2 linked regions of the Alligator mississippiensis genome follow. The protein of the gene in region 2 binds, or shares a complex with, the protein of the main gene of each other region. Links are inferred from orthologs where the notes say so. Each region holds a gene or a part of one and is shown on either strand. Other genes may lie near its edges. The genes, in order: KCNJ11 and ABCC8.

The links.
Region 1: the proteins of ABCC8 (region 2) and KCNJ11 are in contact, whole or in part, in a cryo-EM structure (PDB 7S60), measured with the Homo sapiens proteins. The link is inferred for Alligator mississippiensis from reciprocal best matches to the Homo sapiens genes ABCC8 and KCNJ11. Residues at the interface, in NP_000343.2 of Homo sapiens: Phe5, Ser12, Ala13, Tyr15, Arg16, Val17, Val21, Asn24, Cys26, Phe27, Ala30, Val33, Val34, Val37, Phe41, Phe44, Ile46, Phe48, Ile49, Gly50, Trp51, Gly52, Ser53, Ser55, Lys57, Val58, His59, Ile60, His61, His62; in NP_000516.3 of Homo sapiens: Val44, Ala45, His46, Lys47, Asn48, Ile49, Arg50, Gln52, Gly53, Leu56, Val59, Thr62, Leu63, Lys67, His70, Leu73, Ile74, Met77, Cys81, Leu84, Leu85, Met88, Trp91, Leu92, Phe95, Ala96, His97, Gly98, Leu100, Ala101.

Annotation. Positions count from the first base shown.
Region 1 is NC_081825.1:192,685,146-192,701,993, reverse strand, and holds KCNJ11 (ATP-sensitive inward rectifier potassium channel 11), read right to left. Parts: upstream 7,863-16,848; 5' UTR 7,778-7,862; coding exon 6,593-7,777; 3' UTR 2,951-6,592; downstream 1-2,950. UniProt on the Homo sapiens protein: Inward rectifier potassium channel that forms the pore of ATP-sensitive potassium channels (KATP), regulating potassium permeability as a function of cytoplasmic ATP and ADP concentrations in many different cells.
Region 2 is NC_081825.1:192,518,233-192,535,255, forward strand, and holds the start of ABCC8 (ATP-binding cassette sub-family C member 8), read left to right. Parts: upstream 1-10,899; 5' UTR 10,900-11,111; coding exon 11,112-11,259; intron 11,260-13,802; coding exon 13,803-13,944; intron 13,945-17,023. UniProt on the Homo sapiens protein: Regulator subunit of pancreatic ATP-sensitive potassium channel (KATP), playing a major role in the regulation of insulin release.

The sequences.
Region 1 (16,848 bases), about 170 kb from region 2:
TTGGAGTAAGTATAAATATAACTTTAGAGGTAGCAGGGAGAGAAATGCCATCCTTTTAATTTTTCTGTGGGTTATTCTCATGAAGTGCCTGTTATTTCCCTATGAATCCCCATGAAGCTCCTGTGGCTGTCATCACTCACTTCCAACTTCTACCTAACAGGTGGGGGTGGTGTGGGTGTTAAGGCGCATGGTTAGCAGCCCAGAAGTTGCAAATTTGAGGTCACAGCAAAAGTGCTCACAGCGTGGCCTGTCAGAGTCCAACAAATCTGCTAAATACCTGATCATAAGGACATGAAAAAAGGAAGAAACTTCTACCTAGTTGGCAATAAAACAAGATCTTAGTTTGGTTGCTCCCAACCCCATTGTGTTGGCTGCCAAGGGAAGATCCCTTGCATGAGGGAGCACCATAGGGGAATGATGGCCCTTCAGCTGAACAGCGGTCGCTTGGGGCCTGGTATCAGTTCAGTTTTCATTGCTAAAGATCCAGTTTTGATGGAGTCAGACATCTGCTAGTGCAACTGATTCCTCTACAAGGTATTCAAACTCTGACAGATTTTCAAAACAGCACTCACAAATGGTACCCAGGCATGCCCTTCTTCAGAAACGTCCTGACCCTATGCCTCCATTTTCATAGTATATGAATGCTTCAGTCCTGTGGTTATCTTCCTAACACCTCTGTGCTGTTACCTCTGTGTTACAGATGGGAAACAGTGACACGGGGCGCCTATACGTGTGCAGTGAAGCTTCTCTGCTGCAGTGTAATTACAGTGTTGGAGCAGACTCAATTAAGTGAGCCTGTTGGAGCGTGATAATTACTGTGCTCTAGCAGACTCCAGTATCAGCCTCCCTGCGCTGAAAAATGGTGGTGGGAGCACTATATCTAAAGCTTTAGTTAAAGTGCCCCTGTCGCCATTTTCAGTGTAGGGATCCTGATGCATGTGACACTGGGTGCTTTCATTGGAGTGGCTCTCTAATTAAAGCGCCCCCCCCCCCCCCCCCCGAGCACATGTATAAATGCCCTAAGAGACGGTGCCTACATAGGAATGAAACACATCAAAGGAGTAAACGTGCTGTAAGAGGTAAAAGAAGTAAAAGTGCTAATGCTGAACAAGCCAGTGTATTGACATAGCAAACTGCAGTGCAATGCAAAGATATTGGGTCAGATCCCAGAACCCTTAGAGCCTTGTCTAATTAGGACAGAAGGAATGCCACAGTGCTGGGGCTATGCTGCCTCTGGTTTGGGAACTTGCTTTGGTATCTCCAGTATTGCACTGCACGGCACCGTGCCATGTACATATATCCATGGAGACTGGAACCAAGCAAGTTAGCAACAGAAATGGGAACAGAATCAGAATTCCTATCCCACTTCAAGTATGCCCAACAGCTGCACCATGCTTTTTCCCACCATGGATTGCAAAAGGGACAGTACAAGGCAGTCAGCGCCCTTATTCTTGTCCCACTGATATTATCAGACCACTTTTATTATATGTGACAGCTGAAAGGTAGAACATCTGACAACTGTGATCACATTTCTGAACTCTGTGCAACTTAAGTTGCTTTTTTTTTGTAAACACACTCTCTGCTTTTTTTACAAATCAAGCCTGCTTTGCCAGCCGTTGTATAATAATTCATTGAGGGCTGTGCGCACATGTGTCAGTTGGTAAATAGGGGGGAAAGGGGAGCGCGAGACGGGGACGAAGAGGAGGGAAAAGCAAAAGAAAATAACTTGAACTGTCAGATTTTTAATTGTTAATTAGCAATATATTATTGACTATTAATAAACAGCCAATCATAAGACTCAGTTCCTCTAACTCCTTTCTAACAGGCCTCCCAGGAACACCTCTCTGTCACTTGTGTTGCATGCAGCACACAGCAGTATGCGTACTGGATGGATTGAGTAACTCTGATCGTATTACACCCAGCCAGCATTCTCTGGGTTGGCTTCTATAAAGGGCAGACAGATTCTGAATTGGTCTTGCTGATTTTATACAGCTGATTACTGTTCATGAGTCCCAGCTTTATTTATTTCTTAACCATCCCATCCATCTTTTAGGTATTCAGTCATCTCACCTTGGTGAAGCCTTTGCTGTAGGGGCTCCCAACACACAGAGTTCACTCCCCCTTTGCATCTGTCTTAACCCATGCCTTCTTTTTCTCTATAAGAAGCATTTTAAAATGTAATAGGTTACGGCTGCTCCTTTCCCCCACTCCCAATGTGTAGCCTCCTGTGTTTACCCGTTTTTAATATATTTTTACAGGTAATGTCTCATATTGACATTTACTGTATTTTCTAATAATATATTGTATGAATTGTCCATTTGTGCTTTGTAGCAGGGGTAAAAGGACCAAATTGGTCCCTATATCACTATCTCTTATTTAAGCACAATGTCCTTTAATTTAATTGATCAGTTTAATGTTCAAACTGATGGCCTAGTTGGGACCATTATTCTAATTGACAGTGGCTAAAAATATTTCAAAACGATGACAGAGGACTTGGCTGTCCTTCAAATCATGTTTATTATTAACCAGATTCGCTTAATTTTTTCTTATTGCCCATCTGTTAACTGGAATCTTTCCTATCCCTTCATTGCTCTAATAAGTAAACAGCCAAGTCATGGTATTGGGATTTTTTACATAAATACTGTTTGCGGGTCAGATCACGAGTTAAACAGGATTACTTGTGTGTGCAGGAGTTGCTCATGTATATAAATGTTTGCAAAACATGTAACTTCCTTTCATCATTCAGATGGCATAGCTTACTAATATTGGCAAGTTTAGTGCACTAAGAACATAGTCTTCTCCTAATGCTGTAAAAAATGTGTCCCTTCAGATTATCACCTGGGGCTACCCCCATGAATAGCTTATTTGAAAGGGACCCTAGGAGAAAAAATTCAAATGCATCACTCATGCTGGACTACTGCCATAGAAGAAAAATCATCTTGCCTCATGGTGAAATAAAGGATTTTTAATAAATAAAGAATAATAGCACTAACCTGCTATCTGGAAAGCTTGTTAAGGAAAAGTTGCTTGTTTAGTGTTAAGTGTAAATTCACAGACAATTCTGGATTTAGGGTATTATCAAATATTTTGTAAACAACTTGATGGCAAGAAAATAAAACAGTCTTTGCAAATGTTTTCTGTCCCCAGTCACTTTGAAACTTTCTGCTTTTGTTGCTTTATGATGCCCCAATATACAGTGATATGTTTCAAACCATTAAAGCACAAAATAATTTAAATGAAAAAGAAACAAAAAAGAATTCCCATTAACAGACTTGCAAAGGTTTTGATTAAATTAATTGCCCACGGAAACCTTTATTGTGAGATTCTTCTCTTTTTATATTCCTGGGGATCCTTTTCTTTGCTGTCTCTTACCCTCACATTGCTGGTTATTCAGGTGCTTTCTGCAGTGATGACATAAAAGAAAGTCCTTAAGGCAGTTCAGCTCCCCACCTTTCTGTCTTTCAGAGTACAAAGAAAATGCAGGTTATTTCTGTGGTACCAACTTCCTTGAGGAAACAAGAGGTTTGAATCTGTTTCTGAATAGAAGGTTTATTTGGCTAGTAGTCTTCCTGAAATTGCTTCTCATATAGGTCAAAACTTAAAAAAAATGTTAGAAGAACAACAGTCTCCAAGCATTTTCTGTCAATAAACATTTGTAAGTATTTATGTACCGAAATAAGGCACTATATAGACAGAAAATAATACAGGGACTCTTCAGGTCATTTGAAACTTCCCTGTGTGATATTTCATCTATGCATCTTTTAGTGATATGACAGCAGAACAGTGACAGTTGGTAAGGCGGATGTAGAAACTTCAAAGGGTTATTATATACATATGCTTTTCACGCATACCCATGAGAAACAGATCTACCGTAAATAATCTCCAAGTGAAGACTGACAGAGATGCAGTAATAGAGAGGGAGGGAAAATGATGGTGCAGTTAAACTGAATTTCACAAAAAGACTTTAATAATTAGAACAAATTTTACCATTTCCTAATAGAGCTTTTTTTCCCTTTACCAAGCTTTACATTTTAATTTTCAATTTTCCCTTGCAAATTACATATTAATGCTGTTGAACTCCAATTTTTCAAGCCTGTTATGTCTTCTCACTGTGAAACGCCTACCACACTTTAAGTGCACTTCAAAATAATATTAATAGTGGGCGTGTCTACACATACATTAATGCGCCTTTTCTAATGCACATTATATTTTGTACCTCCAATGTAAGCTACTAAATTAATGAGCATTAGGCTGCGCTAATGTGCAGTAGTGCATTTGCATGCTTTTTTAGTGATGCTTAATGCACAGTAGACTATTTTACTGCACATTAACATAATGTCATGGTTTTTTATACGACGCTTTAATCTGTAATATGCAGTAAAATAGTCTACCACGCATTAAAGCACATGTGTAGATGCGCCCATTAGGTTACGACTTTGGAAACTTGGACACATATTAACATGTTTCTAAGTATTCGTTTAGCTGGCTGTCTGGATAGCATAAGTGCAAGCCTTACTTAACCTGTGAGATTTATAGCTATTAATGATAAAAATAATGTTTCTAATGTACTGAGATTTTTATTATCGAAATTATTTCATTTTATCACAAATTCTTATTTAGTAAGTATGCAACTCTTTTCCTTTTTTTTCTTCTTTACTATTGCATGCATTTGTGCTTTGTTATACTGAAAAGTTGTGTAAAAACTGGCCACAAGACAAACTGTTTTCAAAAGAATATTGCGATAATTTTGTAAGATGCAAGGAATTCCCATACAGAGATTCGTTAAAGAGAACAATGCAACCTCACACAGAGGCCTGTGATACAGTACCATCTCATCTTTTGTGTCACCAAGACCAGTCTGCCATCTCTATTGATGCCTTATTCAGACAACATCTTCTTTGATTTCAATGGCAGTCTGCAGTGCTTATCAAGAATATGTTATAAGGATGTTATCAGGCCCCTATCGTACAAGCCCTCCACACAGAAAACTGCCATTGTTCTTAATGGGAACTCTCCAGGTGGAAGATTTGCTGGATCAGGTTAACAGGGACTGCTAAAAAAGAAAACTTAGTGAATTAATGGTGTGTTTTTTTTCATTGTATGCCTGATCTTGCATTCGGAGCACAATCAAAATCAAAGGGAGCAGGTGGAATTCGAAGTTGTGCAAAAATTAATTCATGATCAGGCCCTAAATGAAAAGGGTGCAGTCTTCACAACAATGGTATGTGCTGTGATCTGACATCCCGGAAGTAGGCTGCATTATCCTATACATCCCGCCCTTGCCTCAGAACAAAATGCTCTTGAATCATTCTTAAAACTAAAACTAAATTAAAATAAAATTAAGGGGTCTTGCTAATTGCAGGCAAATACCATTTGATATAATTTGCATCTGCTATTTCACCGTAAAAAGTATCCCGGTTGTAGCCATATTGGTCTAGAGAAAAAAGCAATCGGTACTCGTGGTAGAGATATCTTTTATTAGACCAACAAGATGTTTGCAAAAAAATTTATTTAATTGAAAACTGCCTGATGAAGGGTGTTTGTGCCTGAAAGCCTGCAAGTAAAGACAGTTCTCTGCAAACATCTTGTTGGTCTAATAAAACATATCATATCTACCATGAGTCCTGACTGCTTTTTTCATTGCAAAACACTTTCTAGGTAAGGTCTTTGATAAAATTTATACTCCCTTGTTATCTGATTGAAATCATTGGGGGATGAATTCTCACAGGTGCCCTAGCATGTTGTGGCTGGGCTTTTTGTTTGTTTGCAATCGATGAAGGTATTTTTCTTTTCCATAATTAATTTCAGTTACATAACATCAATTAATATCTGTTCTGCTTTGTAAAGACAAACCCTTTTAGAAACCATAGGTGCATCACTCGCTATCAGAAATAGAGATAACATATCCTCTTTTGAGGCACTGTAGAAGAGTTTGAAAAGATACAAAAATACGTATACAAATGACTCTCCTACTGCACTTGCAGTCAATGGATCCAGACAGTACAATATGGTCTAAATTAAATCTGTAAGTTTATTTCTGCAAGACAAAGTACCATGACTTATACAGGCACCTTCATATCCAGACTTATCTTTCTCATAAAAATTACTGCCTGACCTTTTTTATTATTATTATTTAAGTTCTGATTTGAGATTAATAATAATAACTGTTAAAGGCTTTTTCTGCATCATGATAATGTTTCTATTCAGAAAAGCAGTTAAAAACTACTGTCTGGATGACAGACATTGCAAAGCCCTAAATATTGCAACCTCCCAGGGCACATATGAAGTTACTTTTCAAGGGAAGGTCTGATTCCCATGTGGATGACTCAGTCCAAAAATGATCATGCAAATAAATGCAAGAGTCAGGATTTTTAAATTAAAACAGCAGATTAACATTTTCACCCCTCCAAGGCTGCTTTAAATCTCTCACACCTTTACAAATAATAACAGAATACAATTGTCCTGCAATAAATAACACAACACATACCTTGTGCTACCAACCGGAATAAGAAAAAATAGAGGCAGTCTCAAGAGTTGGTGCTTATTGCATGTTTTGGACACAGCCCCACCAGAGTTTCCTCTACCACGTGTGTCAGGAAGGCTCATCAGAGATGGTAAATTTGGGCTTTAACCTGACAGTTCGCTTCCTAATGGTGCCTTTAGGCGACTGTAACATGGTGTCTATGATGCTTCTGTTTTCCTCCAGCTCCCGGGCCGTGCAAGAAGGGGTGGGCACTTTCACCGTGTTGCCAAACTTGGAGTAGTCCACAGAGTATCGCCCATCTTCCTCGGCCACAACGGGCACGAACCTCTGGCCCCAGAGGATCTCGTCGGCCAGGTAAGAGGTGCGGGCTTGGGTGGTGATGCCCGTGGTCTCCACCACCCCTTCCAAGATGACGATGACTTCCAGGTCCTCCTGGTGGTTGAGGTGGAGAGGGGAGATGTCGTAGAGGGGGCTGTTCTGGTCGATGACATGGCAGACGATGAGTGGCGCCACCAGGAAGATGCTGTTGCCCCCCACCGGGTTCTCCATCTGGATGTCGATCTGGTGGAGGGGCACCACCTCGCCCTCCAAGCTGGTGGTCTTCTTCACCACCTGCATGCGGATGGTGGCGCTGATGATCATGCTCTTGCGCAGGTCGCCCACCCGCAGCATGAAGCAGAGCTTGCCCTCCCGCAGGGCGATCACGGCGTGCTTGCTGAAGATGAGGGTCTCGGCCCGGCGGTGGGCCTGCGCCGTCTTCATGAAGATGCAGCCCAGCATGATGGCGTTGATGACCAGGCCCACGATGTTCTGCACGATCAGCACCAGGATAGCGGCCGGGCACTCCTCGGTCACCATGCGCCCGCCGAACCCGATGGTCACCTGCACCTCGATGGAGAAGAGGAAGGCGGAGGTGAAGGACTGGATGCTGGTCACACAGGGCACGAAGCCCCCGGGGTCCCCGCCCCGCTCCACCTGGGTGCTGTGGTCCAGGTCACCGTGGGCGAAGGCGATGAGCCACCAGCCCATGCCGAAGAGCAGCCAGGTGCACAGGAAGGACATGGTGAAGATGAGCAGCGTGTGCGGCCACTTGAGGTCCACCAGCGTGGTGAAGACGTCCTGCAGGAAGCGGCCCTGCTCGCGGATGTTCTTGTGGGCCACGTTGCAGGCACCGTTCTTGCCCACGAAGCGGGCCCGCCGCTCCCGGGCGCGGTAGCGGGCGTGATCCGGCACATCCTCGGCCAGGCGGGTCAGCACGTACTCCTCGGGGATGATCCCCTTCCTGGACAGCATGGCTCCGCCGCGCCCGGCTCCGGCCGCCGGCTACCGCCTACCGGCGCCAGTCACCGGGCTGCAGGCGATGCCCCGCTGCCGCGGCCCAGCCCGGCCCGGCCCGGCCCCGCGCGGCGCGGCGCGGCGCGGTCCCCCCGCACGCCTCTGCCTCCCCCGGGCACCGCCGCCCGCCCCGCCCTGCCCCGCCCCCGCCCCCGGCCAGCGCCAGGCTGCGGACACCCGCCTCCGGCTGCGCGGGGGGGCCGCGACATCCCGCCACCTGCGCCCGCCCTGCCGGGTCCCCGTCTGCGGTGGGGGCACGTGCACGCCGGGGCGCCTGTACACATACCCAGCACACAGCGACTGACATGTAGCATTCGCCCCCCCACGCGTGTGTGTACTGGATCTGTCTGTTTCTATATATAGATCTAGATACCTGTATAGAGATAGCTAGATATGTCATCATTGCATCTATCTATCTATCTATCTATCTATCTATCTATCTATCTATCTATCTATCTATCTATCTATCTATCTAAACAGACGGACAGATAGATAGATAGATAGATGGATAGATGCACTGGGTAGAGGGGGAATTTAGATATACCTATCATATGTCAAATGATATATATCATTCCCCCCAAGTGTGTTTGTATTATATCTATCTCTTTATCTCTATATCTATATATATATCTCTACATATCTATATAGAGATATATAGATAGATATGCCATCGTATCTATCTATCTATCTATCTATCTATCTATCTATCTATCTAGACCTAGCTAGATAAATAGACACATGCATGGGGGGGGGGGCAAATTTATATATACCTATCATATATCAAATGATATATATCATTTGCACCCCCCCAAAGTGTGTTTGTATTATACCTATCTATATATATCTATATAACTATAGATAGCTAGATAGATGCAATGACGGCATATCTATCTATCTATCTATCTGTCCATCATGGACAGACAGATAGATGGATGCAATGGACAGACAGATAGATAGATGCAAGGACGGCACATCTATCTATCTATCTATCTATCTATCTATCTATCTATCTATCTATCGTTACATAGACCTAGATAGATAGATAGATAGATAGATAGATAGATAGATAGATATCTATAATAGGTATACACATGCACTTTGGGGAGGGGCAAATTTATATATATCTATCATATATCAAATGATATATATCATTTCCCTCCCAAAGTGTGTGTGTATTATCCCTATTGATCTATCTAGACCTATATAGATAGAAAGATATGTAGACAGATAGATATAGAGATAGATACGTACACACATATGTTTATATATGTGTATCTATGTATACACACTTATATGTATAAGTGCATACACACAGACACATATATAATAGTGCAGTGCAGCTGGGATAGACTTAGACATGTTTTTGAATGCAGTCTGAGTGCATACATACAGACTAGACGATAGCTATATTTATCTATTGTATGTACGTATATGTGTGTGTGTGTGTGTGTGTGCACGTGCGTGCGTGACAGGTTTCTGCGAGACAGCCATAAAGATGCTGCAGTGGAAGCACCCAGAAAGGAGGGGCTGGTACTGTGTGTGCCGCTGCACTGGGAAAGCCTCCTTCTGTTGGGCTCAGACTTCCCCCTTCGCCCCCCTTAGACTGTTTTCCTTACATGTCTTTTTTTTCTTATATTCGTATGCTTCTCATGCCCTTTGTTTTCTTCTTATGCTCTGCTCTCTGCACTTGCTTTCACAGTATCTGGTGATGGGAGATCACACACATATTGGGGAGCAAATATATATGGTCCAGATAGACTTAGACATGCTTTTGAATGCAGTTCATTCTTTAATTAATATATATGAATTACTATATTGAATTAATATATGTTAATATACGAATATTAAGAATGAACTGCATTCAAGAGCATGCCTAAGTCTATCTGGGCCATGTAGCTGGTCCAGTAAAAGATATAACCCACAGAAATCCTTACCTTTTTGTAAATAAATAATTTTTTTACAAGCAAGAGTTGGTGAGTCTTCCCAGGTCTGTCTTTCTGGTCCAGTTTTTTCCTTTTTGTAAGTAAGTTCATATCCAGGGGAAGTAACATGGATCTAGGCAAAGGTCACTTGGCTAATTCATTTATGCTGTTTTAGGCAATTTTGAGATATTGTGATTCATTCTGTTCCAAATACATGCATTTGTCACATATGGCCCTGCTTGCAATGCAAATAAAACAATATTGATCTTTTAAATGTATTACTTAAATTTTTTTTTTAGTTGAATGTGGATTAGGCTACAGAAAGCCATCATTTCTGGCTCCCGATCCACGTCAGAGATGTTTGGTTATCACTTAGATATCCAAGGGGTGCTGGGATCTTAGTTCCATGTATAATTACATTACATTTCATTGATTTATCTTGTTTTGTTAGTGGCATGGAAAGCATTTAGGCAATAGATGTACTTCTGCTATTTATTTTATATTAAGATTATTTTCTTTGTCTTGTTCTTTGCATTTATGAAAAAGCATGCAAGATAGATACTGTGGTGTTTTTTGTTTTTTTTCCAAAGAAACCTTTTATAAAAGAATTCAGGGAAGCTCCACAGAGCTCAAGTAGCAGGAAATGATACATTTAAGTATCAAATAGTTCAACCAGATACTAAAGGATAGAAACTTTCCTTGGGAAGGCTGCAATCAGCAAAGCATTAATACATGCTTAATTTTAAGCTTGGGACAGAATATTGAAACCCCATTAATTACATTTTTAGAAGTATTTATCTCTGAACATTATCTCTAGCTTAAAGTTGCAGCAAAGTACATTTAGATTGGATATCTGGAAAAATGTATTTCCTGTGAAAATAGTGAGGCAGTGGAATAGAGTGCCTAGGGAAGCTGTGGACTCCCCATGACTGGACGTGTTCAAGAAGAGGTTGGACAGCCACTGATCAGGGATTATCAAGTTGTAGCTATGCCTCTTTTCTGCCATAGATATTTCCTATGCTTCTGGGCTTTGCTGGTTGCTCCTGCCCCGCTCCCTTTTTTCTGTTATGCATTAGGGGTTTTTTTAGCTTCCACAGAGGCATTGGGTGCTGGCTAGTTAAGGCTGGAGACTTCAGTTGAGGTGTGCTGATTCTCCTGCTAGGAGCAAAGCCCAGAGGTTCCTGGCTAGAGGGTCTTGCCCCTTTGCTCAAGGTCAGACTGCTCACCATATTTGGGGTCAGGAAGAAATACTACCCCATGGTCAGATTGGGATGGGCTTGTGGGGGGTTTTGCCTTCCTCTGTAGTGGGGTGTGTGGCCCTCTACCCAGGACCTCTTGTTCCCCTGCTTCACCCGTGGCAGGTTAGGGTGTTAGGTCTATGTTGTGTCCGGGTTGAGGTTAGTCTTATGTAGAGTTTAGATTATGGTTATACGGGATGGTTTGGATAGGGATGATCCTGCTTCAGGCAGAGGGTTTGACTAGATGACCTTTGGAGGTCCCTTCCAGCCCTACTTCTCTAACTATAAAGACCCACATACACAGTAGATTCATAAAACCCAATAAGATGGTGGTTTTTATTTAAAGCAAGGAGCCAGCATACTGAGGCAAGGCACATGAATGCAAGTAATTGTTAGGTTTGATGCAGTAGGAAGGAAACTAAGGAGTGACTCAAGTGCATATACTTAACCTAGCATGATCTGAGCTTCCAGAGGTCTGTGAGAACTGCCAAAGGCGATGCAAAGAAGAGGGAAACCAGAGCTGCTGTGTGGATTCTCTATATGTATTTACATATCCCAAACCAACGCAACCTGCTTTATTTAAGACCAGACTTGGGAATTATTTTTCCAGAGTGTTCAGCATGTGGAGTCAGCTATATTTCATTTAAAGGGATGTTGCCCGTTCATTTAAACTGAAAACTTTGATTAGATACTTTCAGTTTATATTGTTTTGTATGGGTTTAGACTCATACAAATCAGTGAAGTAATTGAACTAGGGTTTACCAGCCTGTCCTGCACCGAAAATTTATCTTCTGAATTAAATTTAAAGAGTTGTCATAACTATGGCAGAGCAAGTGGTATGCCAGCCCAAGATGCCAGTTTAAATTTCTTTAGATAGACGGCCCTTGGAGACCTGGCAGAGCATCAGCAGCATCCAGAGCAGGTAGACCCCATCTACCACTCTCTGGCATCTCTGCCCACGGTGCCAAAATTGCTAGTTATGCCTCTCATCCACACTAAAGCAGTTTTTTTCTCCCTGAAAAAATAAGAGGCTGGAGGTTTGCAGGGATCATGTATCTCTCTCAAATCACTCCTCAGCTTTGGAGCTTTAATTACTTTGTCATAATATCTAAGTGGTTATTGGCACTGATTTACTAGACAATGTCTTACTGCCATGAGGAAGTTTAATAGTTTCATAGATGTTGGGTGCTGGATGGGACCTTACAGATCATCAGGTTCAGCCCCCCTGCACTTGGGCAGGAAAGACTGCTGGGATCAGATAACCCCAGCAAGATAGGCATCAAGATGTTTTTTGAAGATTGCGAGGGTTGTGACTGTACCATCTCTGGTGGGAACCTGTTCCAAACCCTCTGCACTTGACTTATAAAGAAGTTTTTCCTTATGTCTAGCCTGAAGCGATCTTCAATTAGTTTGTGCCCATTATTTCTTGTCCTCCCCTGGGGGGCCTCGGTGAATAGTTGTTTCCCCAGGTCCTGATTAGCGGGTGAGAGCTTGCCAGTGTTGGAAGTTGAAATTAAGTAGGCAGCTTCCACATCTATTAGAACAAATATTTCTGATTGTGTACTTTGACCACTCTAGCAAAATAATTCTAGATCCCACAGTTAAATTCTGTCTTGCTTCTTTCTTTATATATGTAGGTACTTTATAGATGTAAACAGTTAATATATAAGCAAATTTGTTAGGGATATACAGATTCCAGATATGTTTTTGGATATATTGACTCATTGGGAGGTTTCCTGTATTTTCTATATCTCTTTCTCATATTCTGGGCTGTCGTTCTTAACTCTGATATAAAAAAGTGAACATAAGATGTGCCAGTGCCAAACTATGTCAGACCAATAGTCCATTTAGCCCAGAATCCTGTCTCTAAGTGGCAGAAGTGGATGCTGTATACTATAGGGAGGGCACTGAACCAGGTATCTCTGGAGTGATATATCCCTGTTCAATGCCCTCTCTGATATTCACCATTTATTGTTTTAGAAATGCCCAGGGAAACGTCTTCAACTGTTCTGTTCAAAATACCTCTTAATCTGATACCATGGGTTTTAATCTGAGCCAGAAGTGTGTGTGTTGGGGTTTTTCCCCCTTCCCATTTACTTTATTTCTCTTGTGGATATTTTGGGTGCTTATTGGATTGCCATATTTATATGGCAGATGGAAACCTGATTTGTGAAGACTCCATATGTATATCACCTACACACACCTACACCTACTCCATACGTACATCACCTACACACACCTACACCTACTCCATACGTACATCCCCTACACACCTACATCTACACATAGCTACATCACCTACATACATCACCTACATACATTCATAGGTTCATAGATGTTAGGGTATATTTCACATTTAAAAAAGGATTGTTTTGTGTCCTTTTCTAAACTTTTTTTTTTTTTTTTTAATCAGCTACTTGGTAGGGCTGTGCGAAGCTTCAGTGCTGATTTGATTTGAAGGAGATTCGACCCGATTTGGTGGCCGAATCTCTGAATTGAATCAGGGGACTGAATCAATTCAATAGGTCCAAATCAAGACAAAGCTCTCTGAATGGATTCGGAAAAGATTCAGAGAGCTTTGGCAATTTGGGCAGTCCTCACCGGCTGCAGCAGGGAGCTGGACCCAGACTCCATGCTGGTAAGTAGGGGGTGGGGAAAGGGAGGGGACCATGGGGGGACCCCTCCCAGGCCCCATCCCCTGCTTGCTCCCCCAGCCCTCCCAAACCCCCCTCCACTCTCCCAGCACCCCCATGGCTGCCCTGCTCACCCCAGCTCCTGGCCCTTTAAAAAAAACAACAAACCCCCCCCTGAACTCACCACTGCTGCAGCGGCCTCAGGGCTTCTGGAGGCTCGTGGAAGAGCCCCCCATGCAGTATGGGGCAGTGGGGATCGCCCCCCGCCTGGCAGCAGCCTGTAAGTGTGGGCTTTTTTTTCCCAAAGAGCCGCTGGTGGGGCAGCAATTGAGAGTGGGCAGGGGATGGGGCCTATGTGATTTGGAGATTCGGCTGATTCGGCAGCAGCCAAATCTCTGAATCAGATTCGGCCGAATCGATTTGAATCACCGAATCGAATCGCTGTTCCCTGAATCAGCTGAATCCAAATCTGAAGCAAATACTAGCCGCTTTGCACAGGGCTACTAATTGGGCTAACTCATTTGAAGGCTCATGCACTGGGACATGGTTCCCTACCTCACTACCTCTTATGCAGTTGCTTACATTTTTGCAAAATGGATATAAAGCACAGAACACTATTTGCTTGGTATCATTTTATATTTTGCACAGGGGGAAATAATATAGTGAGGCCCACTGTTAAAAACCAAAATGAAAAAAAGCTTCTTTAATTCTGTATTTTGCCCTCCAGAGGGCAGTGATTACATTTACTTGAAAAGGGAACAAATAGCTTTTGTAACATTGTTCTAAGAAAAAATAGTGTCAGGAGGGAGGCATCCCACTAGTGAACTAGTTTTATGGTTTGGGAGTGAGAGTCAGCAGTGGAACCTTACATAGGAAATCATGTAGCATGAGCTGAATTATCCAGGAAGGGCCTGCATTTTCAGATCCCTCAGTACTGGAGAGTGTTTCGCTACCCTTCTCTCCTTGTTTTGTGCATGTCACTCACCAATTTATCTCATCTTCCCCCATCTCAGCTGTTTGGTGACTGGGCACACAACTGTCCAACTGCAGGAAACAAATAGCTTCTGATGAGCGTTTAAACGAAGCAAAGAGGAATACTGTTTCTATGGAGCCAGAAATGGGTACTCAATCGGGGAGTGGGGCAAGAGCGGCCATTCTGTACAAGCCAACTTATTTTGGGTTAGGGTTGTAGAACAAATAAAGGTCATGGGAAGAACCTCTCACTTTACAGTTTAGCAAGTGGATTATGGCGTGATAATAGGCCTTTTTCCTTCACTACACTTGTATATACTTTCCCCATTGTTTCTCTTGCTGAATCATTTCTTATGGGAAGCAGGGTTTTATTATAACGGCATAATAAATATCCAGGTAACAGTGAAATATTCCTGTTTACTTTGCACTTAGATCAACCAAGAACCACTAAGTGCTATACAGATACTGATTAAATCTTGCAACTCCCCTGAGGAGACCATGTATTATGAATACAGTATCACAGATGGGTGGACAACTCATGAAGAGAGCTGAAGTGATTTGCCCCAAGTTGCACAGCAAGTGATTAGCAGAGGAAGGGTAGAAATAGAATCTAAGTAATTAGTCATATTTCCTGACATCAGCGGAGCCAGGATTTTAACCAAGTAGTCCTGACTTCTCTTGTTAAATGTCCTAAAGTGATTCAGAGCCACTGATAATTTTCTAAATGCTCATATTTATCATAGCAGAAGCGTTTTCAGCTTGTAGCAGTAATGGAAGAAATCCTGACTGTGCAGCTAGCAGGCACAGAGGCCAGCAACAGCTTCACAATCCAGCCCAATGCCTTCAGAGAATAATAGGATTCCTTTGCAGTAGCTGTTGCAGCTTCTGACCATCTCTGCTGAAGTGCAGCATCCTTCTAGCTCAGTGAAGCCCCGATCCCAAGCAAAGTAACTTATCTTTGGGAGTGTATATTCTGCTGTTTCATGCAACAGTGGGGTCCCTCCTGAACCATGACTTCTTTTGCCGTAAAACACAAATGATGGCTATAGTTGTATAGTTTTGTTTTGTTTTGTTTTTTTACACTTGCCAGTGAGTTTCATGGAGGAGGATATTTTCCGGTACTCATTTCCCCCCTCTCCATGTGCGGTTATCGTTGACAGAACTGAGTAATTTTAGTCATGTAATAATTTATCTCCTCATTTTCGCTGTTCTTAACACTACACTCTTCCATTGGTTGTAAAGCCTCTCAATTCACAAATAGTGTACAAATAGTAAAAAGCTGATGCTGCAAAATAGAGGAATTTGTAATGCAACAAAATATATCCTTGGCTTTTCTGCACTGTGGCAAGTAGAAAAGAATAATTAGTGCATGAAAATGCTCCATTTTAACTTTGAAAGGAATGGTAAGAGAAAACAAAGGATATTGAAAATGACAACTTAGTGCATTATTTCAACTGGATTTCCCCAGGCATGCTTGAATGAAAAAGGGCATAAAAGCAGAAGGCTGATTTCCCAAAATCTCTGAACTTCCTAAAATGTAAGAAAATGGCATAACTCTCTCTTCTAAGGTAGATGAACAACTGACACCATTGTCCAAATAATACCAGGTCCTCATCCATTTAGTCTCCTTCCCGCTCATGCATGTGGAAAAGGTTTAGATTTGTATGTTCTGGAAAGCCTGCTCCTTTTTACCAATGAAAAGAAGGAAAAATGCTGGGTAGCTGTCCTTAATTAGGTTTATTAGCTGTCATTCACTTAACCTGTCAATTAGCTGTTCATCAGTTAGGCTGATTACACAGTTGTATGTACTCTTACATACATATGCATGTCTGTATAATTTATTGGTAAGGATAATCATGAATTCAGGACAGTGTAATAGCAAGATAAGGATCTGAGGCTAGGAAAGAGTTGCCTTTCCAACTCACTTGTGTTAAGAAAGTGAAAGTTTTTTTGACCCTTAATTGTCTAGTTCTATTGGGGTCAGTATTTGAACAGAGACCTCTTGGGTAGGCCAAACAAAACAAGGCACAGCTACATAATTTATGAACAAAAGCATCCTTTCCCTCACCAGGGAGTTTGATTCCTAAAGGATAGCAAGTTATAGGGATCAACAGGCTCACAATACTTGGTTCAGGCACTTAGACCTTTCCATCCCGTGGAGTTTCCTCATAGGTTCTGAGTTTTCTTACAGTTTTAGGAGACAAACAAGTAACTCTGACTGATGCTCTGCTCACACCCGAAAGTGCTCAGCCTCAGTTGGAACT
Region 2 (17,023 bases):
TATATGACATCAATCTCTTCTCCGTTGTCTAGGTGATAGGTCACCTGGTCATTGAAGGAAATAAGATTGGTCAAGCAAGACCCACCTGCAACAAACCTGTGCTGGCTATCCCTCAGGATGTTGGTGTCGGCCAGTCCATTAAGGATGGCCTCTTTCATAAACTTTTCTAAGACCTTTCCCAGGATAGAGGTCAGGCTGATGGGCCTATAGTTTGCTGGATCCACTTTTCTTCCTTTCTTGAAGATAGGCACCACTTTGGCCTTCTTCCAGTCTTCGGGCACTACACCAGAGAGCCAGGAGTTCTCAAAGATCTGTGCCAGAGGCTGAGCTATGATGCTCGCCAGCTCCTTGAATACCCTGGGGTGTAGATTGTCAGGGCCGGCTGACTTGAAGGTATCCAGCCTCTCGAGGTGTTCCTTCATGATTTCAGCATTGATGGAGGTCAGGGAATCTCTCTCGCCCGTACCTCCCTGTCCCATAGTGGGCACGGGCGTCCCATGGGACTGATGGAAGACCAACACAAAGTACCCATTTAATAGGCTGGCTTTTTTCTGGGCGTCAGTTGTCAGTTGTCCCACCTGGTTTAGCAGGGGTCCAATGTTGCCCTTGCTTTTCCTCCAGCTCCCCACATATCTGAAAAAAGACTTTTTATTGTCCTTGATATTCGAAGCTAGTCGGAGTTCAGTTGCAACCTTGGCTTTCCTGTTTTGCTCCAGGATTGTTGTAATTTAACCATGGGTATGATGCATCTCTGCTTCATGAAAATCTCTCACATAAGGAATATAGGGCATAAAACTGGAAGGGACATTTTGGGTCACAGCCCAGTCCTCTGCTATTTCAGACACAATATCATACATCAAACCTCCTATGTCCTATTTATCAAACCTGCTCTAACCCAGTACAGAGAAATGGATTTTTAGCAATGGCCGATCCTATTGATTATAACTTCTTCTTCAGATCTGGTCCTAGGAAGAGTGTGTTCTTAAAACTCACATCCAAAGTTTTCCATCTTGGATGCCTAAATCTAGATGCCTATAGAAGCCACCTAATTTTGTGTAAATGTGAGCTGTGTGGCTGCTCTGCACTTTTGAAAAATTCAGATTCAGACTCTTGTTCCTAATTATGCATCTTTACACCAGATAAAAGGTGAAGCCTGAACAATGATTTATATAAATGTACCTCTGTCTTTTGATGTTTGATTTTATACAGAGACACCTTCTGCTTTTTAGCAGTGCTGAGAAAAAGCAGAGAAGTGACAGCGTACAAGTGATGGTGTACACTCCTGTATCTGAGTTAGAGTGACAAATGAAGGATGACAGAGAATGACAAAGGCAAGAACTATGAGCTCTTTCATTTAAATGATCATACTTTCTGATGTGTTGGAAACAAACCCAGCTATCAGGCTTTAAAGGCTGAAATGTCGTTCTTGTGCTGTTAACCCCATTAGCTGTTTACATCTTACTTCCTACCTGACTCCCAAGTTAGGTACAGAAATTATTTTTCGCATATTAAAATGTCATGTTACCTGTTTGGAATTCCTGTTTAAACAGCGGAACAGCATCCACAGCACTTCTTAGCAAGCAAAAATTATTTTAGGTTATCAGATGTGTTGATTGCTGCCTAAGTCCAGCATTAGGCTTGCTACAATAGCAGTGCAAAGGACAGTGCTCACATGTACAATTTCCTGAACACTGGAGGTATAATCACATTAAATAGGGAGAATGATGCTCTGTAAATTTTGGAGAAAAATTAAGCAATAGCTACTGCATGAGCAGGAGAACACTCCAAAGTTCAGTTGATGTAACCCATGAGAACTGGACCCTGTTCAGTGGCTTGCTATAATTGATCACTATTGTGGGTAAAAAATTCAAAATTTGGTCCACAGTTGTCTGTCTTTTCCTAATACACTGATGTAACATCCATTAATGATACCTGGTAAATGTAAAAGACATAAGAACCTGTAACTATTTGTAAGTGAAAAGAAGAATACCTTATGCAAGAAAAACACTTAAGAGTAAGGACAGAGGAATGTATACCCTACCCCAGAATCAGGCAGGGACAGCCATATAGCTATTTCCAGGGTAGCTTACATAATAAATGGTTAGTACTGCACCTCACAACTGGCAACAAGAGAACAAGTTATAGTCTATTTCACCTTCAGCAAATGGCTGCCCCCAGGTAAAAGTGGACAGACAATGCCTAAACCAGTATAAATTGAAAAATCAGAGTTTTACTGTTGATTCCTTCAGGGGTAATTTTGCAATAGATTGGAAAAAGCTAACCCATTATAGGGGTTTGATTGTCTGTTTACTACTTTTTTTTAGTCAGGTGTAATTGCTGTGTTGTCCGTCCAAGCCCTTAGTACAAACTTCTGTCTGTTGTCCGTTGGATTCAGTGATGATACACTTGGACAAAATTATAGTCATGTTGCTAAAAAAATGAAAGCTTTAAGAAGTTTGTAAATGTATTCACTCTTTGTTTAAATGTTCTTTTTTAATGTTCTTCCTCGAAAAACATGCAGAGAAGCACTCTTGGTGTTATCTGCATGGTCCAACATTTCATCTATATTGCAACAGTTTATCCATAAATCATTGGTAAGCCAACTGGTTTCAATTGTTTTGATCTGTAACCTTAGATATAAGAACAACATTTAGGAATTCTCCAGTCATTCATTTTTATTTACAAGGCTGAAGAATCATTTATTATTAGTTTTAATTTCCTTTGCAAACTTAATTTGACTTTTGGTGATTCTCATTTTATTCCTACCTTTTCTGCCCTCTAACTGCAACTTTCTTTGTGCATCTTTTGCTATCCCTTGTAGGCTCCCTGTTTAGAGCTTATATCCTTTTTGATGAAGTTATTCATCTTAGTAGGTCTGAGCCCATTCTGTACAATTTTTTTCTTCTCTTGGAGTGCAAATTCTTTGTGCCTTCCAATTAAAGAAAATAGTCCTTTCCATATTCAAGTCTCTGAGCTCTTCAGTCCACATGTCTTCACTAATCGCTTCCCTTAATTTAATCCTGGTTAAGTATCCACTGGGTGTGTCTATATGGGTGTGACTAATCTCACAGTAAAGCATCACCATCTACACGTACACACCATTTATTGCACAGTAAATTAGTCTACTGCACAGTTAGCTACTACCTGTAAATCACAAAAAAAGTTTGCCTTTGCTACTGCACATTGGTTACTGCACCTTTATCTAGTTCCTCATATTAGAGGTTCTAAACAATGCACTGTAGCAAAGGCGTATTAGTGAACATGTAGATGTGCCCACAGGGAGCATGTGTAGACATGCTCCCAGGAAAGGCTTACTATGCAGTAAGACTTTATAGAATTAATAGCACCTGTAGATGTGCCTAGTAACAATGATGGTAGAAGAAAGATGTAGCTGCAATGCTTGTAAAAGTTATCAGCCTGACAATACCAGACAGAAATCTTCTATATATCCGAGAAGCAGGTACATCCTGGGTAGCAGTAACAACAGCTTCTCCCAGGTTTTCTGCCAATATTCCTTATTGGGTTTGTAGGTCATGGTCTCTGACTGTTTAATCCTGGGTCCTTCTGGGTTTGTCTACATGAGACACTACTGCGCAGTAGCAATGAGCTACCGCACAGTAGCTTGTTGCCACCGTTCAGTAGTGTTGCCAGGCACTAACTGTGTGGCAACAATACTGCACAGTAGCTCATTGCTACTGTGTAGTAGCATCAGAAAAAAAATGTGTGGTGACAGAACTGTGCAGTAACACCAGTAACAACTGCACAGTCTGCCACTCATGTAGACATGGCCTCGGAGTCTAAAACATATTGCTAATTAAGCTTGTAGTTCTGTGAGGTATGGACTCCTACTTACTGGGTGTGTCTACACATGCACTTTAATGAGCAGTAGCCTATTTTACTGCGCATTAAAGCAGCATGTAAAACAATGGGTTTTACCCTATGCACAATAAAATAGGCTACTGAACATTGTGTCACCTAAAAAGTATGTGTGGGTGCTACTGTGCATTAGAGCAACCTAATGTGTATCAATTTAGTACCTCACAGTGGAGGTACTAAATTTGATGCACATTAGGAAAAGTGCATTAATGCACATGTAGGTGCGCCCAATAGGACCTGAATTGAGACTGTTAACTTCAAAAAGGTATGTGAATAAACTAATGATTCAAAACCAATTAGAGTGTCCACATTTAATTCCCAGTTCCCTGAGACATCCATTTCCCCCATGCATTTAGATTTTGAGGCATAGACATTTCACAAAATCATCTTAATTGAAAGGATTTTCATCTCTAGATTCTGACAATAGTCTTGTGCTTCAGAGACTAAAAACAGATTCAAGTCATAGTTTAGTTTCCAATCTCCCTATAGATCACTCTATCACTAGGGCTGCTTATAGACATTTTAAAAAAAAAAGGTGTTTTACCTGAAACTCATTGCACTCCCCCGTCGAGCCCAGTGCATGAACAGAAGAAGCACTGCATTAGTTGGACCTGGCTCACCCAACGCTTGTATAGATCAAGTGTTTTAGAGGAGCTTTTTGGTGTTTTTATCTAGTAGCTGATTGAATCAGCTTTTAGATAAAAGCACCAAAAAAACCTGCTGAAGTGCCTGAACTATACAGATGTTGCCGAGCCAGGTTTAACTAATGTGCTGCTTCTTCCACTAAAGTGTTTTGGGTTTTTTTTCAACATCTGTATGCAGCCTATATGTGCTTTAGTTCTCCATTGTAAACTGAAGATTATTCCACTTTCTTTCCCTGCATTTTGTCTCTTCCATCTCTCTTTCTTTGTCTGTCCATACATACAACACGGTTTACAACAAGGCTGGCCAACTTGCGGCATGAATGCCACAAATGACACAGGGAGTCTCTATGTGTGGCATATGGCAAACTGGGGAGGGAACAGGCAGCACAATGGCAGATAGGGCAGGGAGCAGAAAGCAGATCATCAGCACAGGGCAGGAAGCAGAAAGCAGACCAGCAGATCAAGTAGGGGAAAGGAACTAGAGAGGCACTCAGGGATGTGCAGGGCTAATTTGTGGCATGCCTGCCAAAGAGGTTGGCCCCCACTGGTTTACAGTAAGACCTCCACTGTCACTAGGGGCATCCAAAAAAATAATAATTATAAGTGTAACTTGTTGTTTGCACACCACCAGGATATATTTTAAGCAAAGATAAGGGAAAACCAGAAACTCAGAACTGAATCCTGGGTTGGATCCAGAACTTAATTAATTATTGCATTTTTAAATGTTTTGTATATGTATAGACAGACAGACTTTTAGGATTGGAAAATAAATAAAAATGCTCAATTTGGCTTGGCTTTTATCCTTCTAAATATAACCAACAGAGTCTTCCACTCACTGACCATAAAGAAGTTTTTGTTCAAGAGAACTTTGTCCAAAAAGGGGTCCAAAAGAACCATGAAAAAGAAAGAGTGCTAGGCATTCACAAAGAGAGAGATGCTTTCTCGTTCCTCCCATCTTGGAAGATGATCAATAAAAAAGAACAAAATGCGAGTACAGAAGCTTTCATGTCTATTAATGGCATTGTCCATCCCAGAACTCAGATCCGTCCTGTTCTTATCTATTACCCTGAGCATTCAGCGCATGATCCCTCAACGGAGAGATCAAGCAGCTGCTCTCTCTTTGTTAAGTACATAGGATTTTTCATTTATGGGTCTCATTTGCAAAAAGGCTTAATGGCAAAGATTTAGGGGACAAAGTGCACCTTGTAATGGTTGTACTTTAACATACAAAATCTAAGCCAAAGTACATATGGCTGTATTTGCTTTTTTTCCCCCCAGCTTTTAAAGAACAACAATCTGCATTAACTGCTTGCATAAACACTGGCTTGGGATCTAGTAGAAAGCTATAAGATGAAATGTCGAGTTCAGAATCTGAATTTTGAACATCTCTCTACTATGGAGGGTGATTATAAAAAGGATTGAGATAGACTATTCTCTGTGGCCACAGGGGACAGGACTGGGCACAGTGGTCTCAAACTGCAGCAGGGGAATAGGCTACTCAGAGAAGTTGTGGAATCTCCATCCTTGAATCGTTTTAAAATCGGGTTAGATAAATAGTTGACTAGGATGGTTTAATAAGAGATGATCTTGTCTTGAGCAGGGGGTTGGACTAGATGACCTCCTGATGTCCCTGCTAGCCTTTCTGTGATTCTGTGATGCTGTTGTTCAGGGATGTTTGTATCTAAGGTTTTGTTTGGAAAATAGGGACAAGCTGTCAGCTTCAGCTGTAAGTCATGGTTCAGTTCTAGTACCTAACTTCTGATAGAGGGGTCTTTAACCCAGGATTTTAGTGTGTCTCTACTAAGCCAAACTGGGTGCATATACATCTGCAATTAATGTGCCAAATTTTCTCCACAGAAATTTCAGGCTCATTAAAGCATTCCTGGATGTATATTTACACATGCATCCACGTCAGGAGCAAATTGTGCCCAATAGGAACAGGCCAGTCCAGGGCTGCTTCTGCCCTGCTCTGCCCCCCCCTGCAGCAGCCAGGGGGAGTCCAGGCTCCCCTGGGTGCCAGCCCATAGCTGTTCCAGCTCTGGGAGCAGCCCTGATCTGCATGGGGATTTCCATGTGGCTGGAAGGCAGCTGCTCAGTAGCTGGGACAGCTCTCCCAGCCCTGCAGAGTTCTGGATGGGTCCCAATATCCATGTGGCTGGGAGGCACCTGCCTGGGAGCTGGGACAGCTCTCCCAGCCACGTGGAGATCGGGACGGGTCCCAATCTCCATGTGGCTGGGAGGCAGCATCCCACCTAACTGGGACAGCTCTCCCTGCTCCCTGTGGTCCCCTGCTGCCTAGGCTGACCAGGAACAATTTGCTTCCAGTCAGTGTCTACACATGTATTTTGGCACATGAGTTTAATGCCCCTATTTCTAGTACCTGTATCTACGGGTGCTAAAAAATGGCACAATAGACTAACCTAGTGCATAGTAACTGCTGCACGCATAGTCAGTGATGCTTTACTGTGCATTAGATTAGTCTAATGTGCAATAAAGTATCTGTCGGCACACCCACTGTTGAGTTTTGGACTGAATTTTGTCAAGTGTGTTGGCATTTAATACTTACCTAAGGCTAACCCCCAAAGTCCATTGAAGTTAATGGTAAGACTCCAGTTGACTTCAGTGGGCTTCAAATGAAGCCTTAGGTGAAGAAATTAACTTTCATCTGGATTCATTACAGGCAAGAGTAGCTGAGGAAGTAAATTGAATAACGCCCATTTAGGATAGGATTACACTTAGTTAGAAATCTGCACTGAGGGCAGGGTGCAGCTGTTTACAAGATTTAATCTAATAATGTCCTCCAGCTAATAGAGAGAAAAACTCAACCCTGGTGAGATGGTAGTCAATTATAGTCCCATAGGTCTCCTGGCATTACTTACGTAGTCCTTGTTTATTAGAGAAAATTAAGAAACAAAATTATCTTGCTTATACCATATAAAATGCTAAAAAAACTAGGCCCAAGTCAACCGGTCACTCAGAAATGGTTGATGTCAGTTTGAGTGTTCTGTCTCTTTCTCATGTCCCTTTTAGAGTCAATATAAGGGTACTGATTTCTCTCATTTTGATTTGGCAATATTTTACGGGCACTTTACATAGGTGTAAATGATTATATTAGGTACTAAGGCAATGAAGAACAAACCCTTTTGTTTCTGAAATCTCCTGTCTTTAGAAAGAATCTCTCCATGTCAGGAATGAAAGGGATTAGCAGACTAGAAGAATCCTTAGTAATAAACGAAGGATATTAGGCAACACTTTTCAAAGCCCATGGGGATGTTTAGATGCCCATTTTAAATGGGAAGTGAGCATCCAAACCCCCTAAGCAGCTCTGAACACTCCAACTTAGGCTTCACAAAAACATTTTCTTTCTTAAAAATTCATTTTATAAAACCTTTTATGACAAATAACCCATAACTGCCACATCACAAATCTCAAAAGGGCCTTCACCCAACAAGGACACACTCCTCAAGAGAGATCGTTCTTTTGAAACAGCCACTCAGATACCATGTGAAGATTTGCTGCAGTACAAAAAGAAAATCCCCACAAATCGCACACCATTAGTTATGAGATATCACCTTTCCCTGGAATCTATATGGAAAATCCTCAAGCAATTGCAACCCATACTAAAAAAAGACCCATTTCTTAAAGAGATCTTTCCAGCACCACCCACCTTAGTATTTAAACAAGCACCAAACCTCACTAACCTCATCACCAGAAGCAAACTCCCTATGACTCAAGCCACACTAAGTGGATCCAGACCATGCCAGGACAAGAAATGCTAAACCTGACAACGTATCTCCACCACCCCCACAATAACTACGCCTCACAACAGAACCATCATCATTCCTGGATCTTACAGCTGCACCTCCAGAAATGTAATATATCTCATCCAGTGCACCAAATGTCCTGATGGAAAATACATAGGAGAGACGAAACAACAACTGAGCACCAGAATGAATGCACACCAGAAATCTATCAAAGACAAAAATATCCCATTACCTGTGGGGGCACATTTCTCACAAGACAATCACTCCCTGTCTGACCTTTCAGTTCTAATCCTCAAAAGGAACTTACAAAACACCTTCCATAGATGAACCTAGAAACTTCACATCATAAATCTACTGGATACAAAAAATCATGGACTCAATATAGACATTGGATTTATGACACATTACAACCTGCCTGACATCTGATTCACCAGGTACCTGCCTGAAGTTATCATTTTCATTCCCCGCCCCTGCCAGCCCCCGTTTCTCACTTCCCCTCCTTCTCTATCCCTAATTTCCAGCTATTTACTTTTTCTCAGACTCCCTCCTTTCTACCTGGGAGAACTCATTACTACAGTAGAGTCTCCCTTGCTTACCTTTGGCATTCCTTCACCCATGTTTCCCCCCTCATTCTGTCCCCTCCTCTCCCTTCTCTACCCATCGTTTTCCTAATTTCTACCTATTTACACTCTCACTGACCTCCTGTCACACTTTTAGCTTCTTTCATTCCCTGGAGATCTCAGAACAGCAGAGTCTTCCTATGCCTGAAGAAGGGTACCTGTGCCCAAAAGCTTGCCAAGAGCTTTGTTCCAACTACTCAGTCGGTCTAATAAAAGATATCACATCTACCCAAGGAACCTTGTCTGCCTTTACGACAAATAATTAAAAAAAAAAACACCTCCATTGTTTAAACTGTGTTAAAAACTGGCAAAATTGACCTTTCACACTTCATTTCCTTACCTATGTGCTGACAACTGAAAGTGGTGGGATCTTTTGGGAGTGAGAGTGAATTAAGAAATGAATATCCCATGAGTTTCAGGAGGAGACTCCATGATATCACATTCTGAACCCTATACACCCTACAAACTGCTAAATGACTGTTTAGCCGGCATCACTGTAGAGGTATGGTGGTGAATTAATCACACATTCACTTTCCACATCTGGGAACCTGGTTCAGTGTCAGGCTGTCTTGAAACAAATGTCATAGTGACATCCACCTCGTAGCAAATGGAAACCCAAGCAAACTTTCAAAGCACCGTCTGTCTGGGTAGAATTCAGCACAGTCACCTCACCAGATTCTTGTCAGCGTGGTCCCAAGGATCCGAACATTTGATTGTATACAGACAGTTAGGTGTACTGGTACAGCTGCCTGCGGAGATGATGGGAGAGATCTGGGAAGAGGATGATAGGCATGTCCCTCAATTCACTCATGCAGTGATTCTCAACCAGAGAGCCCTAGCACCCGGTGATGCTGTAAGATCCTTAGAAGGGTGTGGCAGGATCTCTCACAAATATTAGCACTGCTAGGGGTGCAAAGACCTTTGCACAATTCATAGGAAAAACCCAGAGGTTTCAAACAGGAGTCCGCAGTATCAAAACCATTCGGACCTGCTGCAACCCTTCTGTGTTCTTTGCAACAGAAGACGTGCTCCCCATGTTTTGACACACACATACGCTCCGTATGCACATGCTCCGTACGCACATGCTCCATGTGCACACATACATGCTCCCCAGGCTTTTATACACATATGATACATGCACACACATACCAGGTTTTTATGCACACACACTCCTGACATTTTTATACACACACTCCATCCACATACATGCTCCACACAAATACACACACACACACACACATGCTCCCCATGTTTACACACACACAACCAGGGCTGTCCCTAGCAAGGGAATGAATTGGGGCGACTGCTCTGGGCCCCATGCTTCCGGGAGCCCCACGGAGCTGGGCCAGCTTCACATCCAGCCACTCGCCACCTAGCCCCCAGTCTCCCCGCCAGGCCACACAGGCTGATTTGCCCAGGGTCCCACACCCTGCCACGGTTGTCTCTGCACACAACACATGCACACACACACTCCCCAGGTTTTTACACACACACACTCCTGACATTTTTACACACATGCTCCATCCACACATACATGCTCCCCAGGTTTTTACACACACACACTCCTGACATTTTTACACACATGCTTCATCCCCACACACATGCTCCTCAGGTTTTTACACCCCCTAGGTTTTTACACACACATGCTCCCCAGGTTTGTACACACACAACACATGCCTGCACACACACTCGCCAGGTTTTTACATCCACACACACACTCCCAACATTTTTACACACACAAGTTCCATCCACACACATGGTGTGTCCCCCCCCCCACACACACACAGACCCACGCTCCCCAGGTTTTTGCATACACACACTCACCAGGTCCCCCCACCCGGCAAAGTTTTTACACACGCACCCACGCTCCCGGGTTTGCACACGCACACGCCGCCCAGGCCTGCCCTAGAGGCGGGGGTGGGGAGGCGTCGCCCTGCCCGTTACGCGGGCGGGGGGGCAGGCGGCTCCTTTAAGGCGGGCGGCCCGGGCAGGACGAAGGCGCGATGCTGCTAGCAGATGTGGCCCTAGGCTGCAGCCCGCGGCTGCCGGCGCTCCCCGCCTAGCAGCGGCGCTGGGGCTTGGGCAGCCTCCCCGGAGCCGCCGCGGCATCGCCCCCCTCCGCCTCCTGCCGGGCGGGCTGCGCGGGATGCGCCCTGGCTAGGGCTGGGGACCCGTCGCCCCCCTCCCGTCCCCGACGCCCTCGCGCCATGGCCTTGGCTTTCTGCGGCAACGAGAACAACTCGGCTGCCTACAACGTGGACAACGGGGTGCTCAACAACGGCTGCTTCGTGGATGCCCTCAACGTGGTGCCGCACGTCTTCCTGCTCTTCATCACCTTCCCCATCCTCTTCATCGGTGAGTGGGGCGCCCCCCTCCCCCCCGCGGGATCCCTGCCTCTGGATCCCCGCGCGCACAGCTGGAATGCAGCGCGCAGCTGGCTTGGGGCGGGGGAGGCATCTGCAGAAGCCTGACCTGGTTTCCCGGCGCCCCCCCCCACCCCGCGCTCCTGACCTAGCAGGACAGCGGCCTGGAGGACGAGTCCGTCCCGGCTTCCTTCGCAGAGGAAAGCTGCCGGAGCACCTGGGATCCGCCTCTCTTCTCTATTGCAAGCAGAAATCAAGCTCCCTTGCCTTTGACTTTGGGGGCCCGGCTGTGAGATTTCACCCCTTCTTGTGTTCCTGCTGACTGGGTTCATGTTCTAGGGTAGATATTAGGACAAATTTTTTCACTAGGAAGATAGTAAAGCACTGGAACAGGCTACCCAGAGAGGTTATAGAGTCTTCATCTGGGGCACATCTACACGTGCATATTGATGCAGAGCAATAAACTCACGGGCTTATCACACCACAGTTTATTGCTCCCAGGCACCACATGTACACTCGCGCACCCCATTCAGCCCTGTCAGCATCTGCACGTGTGCTGCTGCAGAGTGAAAAACTTTGCCCTAGGATAATACTTGTATTACCTGCTGTGGAGTTTATTAGTTTATACCAGTCTAATAGCCCTACAGTCTAGATGCCAAAATGTTTACTGCAGAGCTAATAAGTCTACTCCTCTTGTGTAGACCTGCCCCCTTGGAGGTTTTTAAGACCCGGGTAGACAAAGCCTTGGCTGGGATGATCTATTTGGGGTTGGTCCTGCTCTGAGTAGGGGTTGGACTAGATGACCTCCTGAGGTCCCTTCCAACCCTTGTTTTCTATGATTCTATTATCCTTGTTTAGTATGTAGGCAGCCCTCAAAGGGTTATTAGTAATAAGACACATTCATGAGTTAGCAACCTGCTTCCCAGGCACCAGAGAAGCCCAAGGCATCCTGCTTAACCATGCCATGCTAAAATGTTAAGTTCAGATCCTGATGCAGAGCTATGGATGCTTGAACCTATCGAAGCTGCTCTCACCCTGCTGTTGGGTTATTAACACTACTTGCTAAAACATAAATGTTGCCATTACCCAAGTAGCTTAGCTTTTCATAGGATAAAGAATCTTGATGAAATAACAGGGAAAGACACGTTCTGCAGTCCTTGGGCAGGTAAAGCTGCTCTTGAAGTCCATGTGAAAATGTGTATTGTGAGAACTGAATAAAAACTAAGAGGATGAGGGGGTTTGCTTTATTGACTTTGTCAGGTAAAGGAAATAAAACTCAAACACATTTACTCTTAAAGTTAAGGAAGTCTGACAAGTGAACAGAAACATGCTTTGTTTAAATCATACCGGCATTTTTATTGCAAGTAAACAATGTTGGCCTGGCCCTGAGGTGTACGTGGCACTGGAGATGCCATGTATCGGGGTGGGCAAAATGCAGCCCGGGGGCCGGATAAACTAATATTTATCTGCCCCCGGCTGCCTGTCATGCGGCCCTCGATGGCTTGCCAAAGTCAGTAAGCGGCCCTCTGCCCAAAATAATTGTCCGCCCCTGCACTATATGGTCCAGTAGTTGAATACATTTGTACTTTACTTCTCAAACTTGGAGTCCTGATTCTGTGTAAATTTCAGGTTAAAGGAGTTTGGTAGTTTAGTTTTTGGATAACACACAATAACCCTGTAATTTTTCTACACCCTTGTCCTTCGATCATGAAAGTTCCAGCATTAGAAAAACAGAATTAACGTTCAAAACAGAGAGTAATTTGAAGAGTTCTCTAGGGGAAGTAAGTGCTGCATAGTCTCTCTTCTACCCATGGCTTTCTGCAGTGTTCTTAGTCCTTCGTCTGTGTTAGTCCAGACAGCCCTGGCATGATTTAAAGAATGGGAGTTTCAAAGTAACAGATGATATTTATTTGAGTTAAGAAGTCTTAAGTGTTTGATTACTTTAAGAAACATACTTTTTTAAAGTTAAATTGAGGAATGTAAATTGCACAGGTTTTATCACACAGTATTAGTAAAAATAATGAATTTTAATAGCTTAGTTAAAAAGGTTTAATGTATGTAATTATTTGGAAACAGGTTATTAAGTCTGTACCGGAGACTTGTGTTGTATATTCTGTCTGTCTTATTGCTTATACTTTGTAAGTTAGTAATTATACAATAAGTGCACAGTTAAGCAATCACTTAAACATGCATAAGTACTCTTATTAATTGGAGTGGGTTTACCCATATGAGTGAAGTTATTAATATGTAGCAAAGCAGGGCATAAATATGTGACTCAGATTTTTTTTCCTTTAAAACTTGTATGCTTAAGTTCTCTCGTATGATTTCTACAACCACTCTAATTCTTGGAAGTGCACAGAAATTATAACGTCATTCCTAGTGTCACATTTTGACGATACATATTTCTAACATTCTCCAATTCACTTATACTACCTTTAAAAGCAGAGTGGTCAGTATGTTCAGTTTAGAATGTTTTATGAAAGGGGTTTGTGGGTGTATTAAAAATCCTCATGATGATTCTGCTTTTACATTTAGGATGGGGAAGTCAGAGTTCCAAAGTTCATATACATCATAGCACATGGCTGCATTTTCCTGGCCACAATTTACGTTGGATCTTGACTTTCATCCTTTTGTTTGTGCTGGTGTGTGAAATAGCAGAGGGCATAGTGTCAGATGGGTAAGTGGATGCATAGCTTCTCTTGATAACACCAACTATTTTTAAAGGGTTTCAATATAAGTACTAACTCCCTGTCTAAATTTTCGTCTAAATCATTTGGCTTGGAATAAGCATGTAATCTGTATTCTTGGTGATTAACCTACAGACCTTGTATCAGAAATTCCATAGACCTTGCCAAGTATGCACACACACACACACAAATGGCCTTAATCATTTTTAGTTCAGCTTAATGACATTATCATTCCAAAGAAAAATTGTAGATAAATCCTGACAATTCAAGCAGATGATGACATTTTAATGACATATTTTTATATATATCTAAGGGCCTGATCTCAGTCCTTACTCCCCATGATATTATCAGCAAACTCCCCATGATATTATCAGTGTTCCTCCATGAGCCAAATTGTACTTCCCTTAACAAAAGAAGTTGGCCTCTTGGACCCCTTCTCACACAGGTTTTACACTGTAATAGACTTCAACAGAGTGGGCGTGTCTACACATGCAGTTAGTGTGCATGAATAAACTTCAGAGCTTATTGTTCTGGAGTTTATTTCTGTGCAGCACACTGAGCCTGGTTAGAGCAGCCCTGGCTGGCAGCAGCCCATGCTTGTTTTGACTGGGCTCAATGTGCTGTGGAGGGGCTGGCTGGGGCATGAGGGTGCTTCATTGTGGGGCTAACTGGCAGGCAGCCCCTGCCCTGAAGTACCCTTCTGCCCCAACCACCTGGGCAATGTCTACATGTGTACTGCTGCACATGAAAAAACACCGAGGCAGGCTAGTACTTGTATTACCATAGTCTTGTGTGCTGTAATAGGGGTGCACATGTAGATGCAGAGAGGTTTTACTTCAGAGCTAATTAGACAGTTCTGCAGTAAATGTCTTGTGTGTATGTGCCCCTTATGTAGCATGAGTGTGCCTGAGGAGAGACTCCATCCCATTGTCTTCATGGAGCTACTCACAGTACTATAGAAAACAGGATCTGACCCCCATCAATGTAAAAGCCTAGATAGAATGAATGCGAGAAGCAAAGGTTTTTCACTGATTACTTCTTATTGGACCAATTGTGTAGCTGCAAGAAGCAAGAAGACAGGTCTCCCCCATCTTTCCTGGATCATCATGGCTGCTGCAACACTCCAACCCAAAACTGAATGAAAGCAGACAGAACCTGCTTCTGCTCCAATTGATATCAAATTTATCCTCTCATAGAAAAGAGGATTAAATTTGAAGTTAGAAATAGACCGTTATATTAACATGATTATTCTTTCTTAATTCTAACATTACTTTCACCTGGCGCATCAGCTGTATATATCTTTAAACTTGAATAATAAAATATGGGAGAAACTGTTGTAATTGAAGCAAGTCATATGATCCATGAAAGTATGTTAACAAAAGTTAGAGGTGTGGAATGATGACTGATAGTGTTTTTCATTATTTTAAGGAGGTGTGATTGTATTTCACATTATATGTAATGGATTGTATAGCCTTTGCCATATTAAACAGAACTGTATCTCTGAATCAGTTATACCCATCTGTATAATAAGGATAAAAATACTTTCCTAACATTTGTAAAACACCAAGGTTCTTGGATAGAAGGTCACATGACCACATTTATTATTATGTCCTCTGAAAACTAAATATTAGGTAGGAAATCTCTCAATACCTAAAAGACCATTTTAGAAAGAGTTTGTCAAATAGTGGTTTTAGTTTTTCACTGTGGAGTTGGGGAACTGGTAGGGGGCCAGATTGCTGTCTCCTTCGAAGTTATGGTTTGTCTTGAAGGCTAGGGACAGAAATTACACATACATCAGTATAAGTGATAGAAAACCAGTTGAAATCTGTAATACAATAGAAGTTCAGTGCACATAAGCCACTTTCAAAATGGCTGAAACTAGTTTAAGATAAACCTGAATGGATGTAGCATCAGACTTAACTGATTTAGGTTAAATCAGCTTATTGAACTTCTGTCCTGGGATCCTTCCAGATTCAAGTGAACTCACAGTCCCCCAACATCCCAGGATGCTTTGCACCTTCCCTCAACCCCCTCCCTCCTCACAGGGTGGGCAGGCTAGCTTTGGCCCAAGCTATCTACTCCAGCAGAGGAGGGAGGCACACTCTAGCACCCCCACCTCTGCCCCCACCAGCTTCTGGCAAGGGCCACTGCAGGCATTTGGCTGTATTTCTAGAATCAAAAGTTCTTGTCTTTTCACTTGCTTATTGGTTCAATCTATGCAGTTTAGACAAACGTACAAAGATTGAATTGATTCAGCCTGGGGCTTTTTGACTCTGTGTAGCTGAAGAAAAGTCCTCCCAGTCATGTACTGCTTAAGTTGACCCAGAGAACTGCTGTTGGGTACTAAGTGCTACCTAACAAGAATCAAAGCTCCTAGCTATAGAGTTGTGTCTCTGAAGCACTCAGCAGACTAGCATGTGGTCCTCTGAATAAAAACAAACTTTTGTTCCTGTAGTGAAGACCCTCATCTGCTTCCTAAGGCAAAACAAGTCATACTATTAACACGTCCTCTTGACAGCAGTAGACTGTCAAAGGGTTTTGCACCCAGGAATAGGCAGAGGCTATTGTGTTGCAAAGACGGTTCTGAGATATGCTTTTAACTTGGTATTCCAGCAACTTAATGTTTCTGTTTACTTACAGATAAGTATCACGGACTCAGTTCATGTTAGAGCAGATAAGACTATCAGTCTGAAGAACACTACTGTTGAAACCTATGCAAAAGATGTGATCCCTAAGATTTTCCCTGCTGGAAAATCTGTTGACCAAAAGTTTGGGTTTCTCTATTAATATACAGACAAGTCTTATTACGCCCAGTTGGAGTTGAGGGTCATCAAACAGCACAATTGTATCAATTGCCTACTGTCTTTTCCAGTCAGAAAAGCAGTCTTCACAAAACCCCCCTGTTCCAAGTTGGTCTATATAGTTGTCTCTTCATGTGTGTCCATTCTCTTTGCAGCTCAGATAAGTGCTGGGCAAAATTGTGATCCTTTCTTTCCAGTTAGTACAGGGGGTGCTTTGTCCATTTTTGAGAGGAGAGAAGGGGGATTATGGTTCCACCCATCTAGGTGC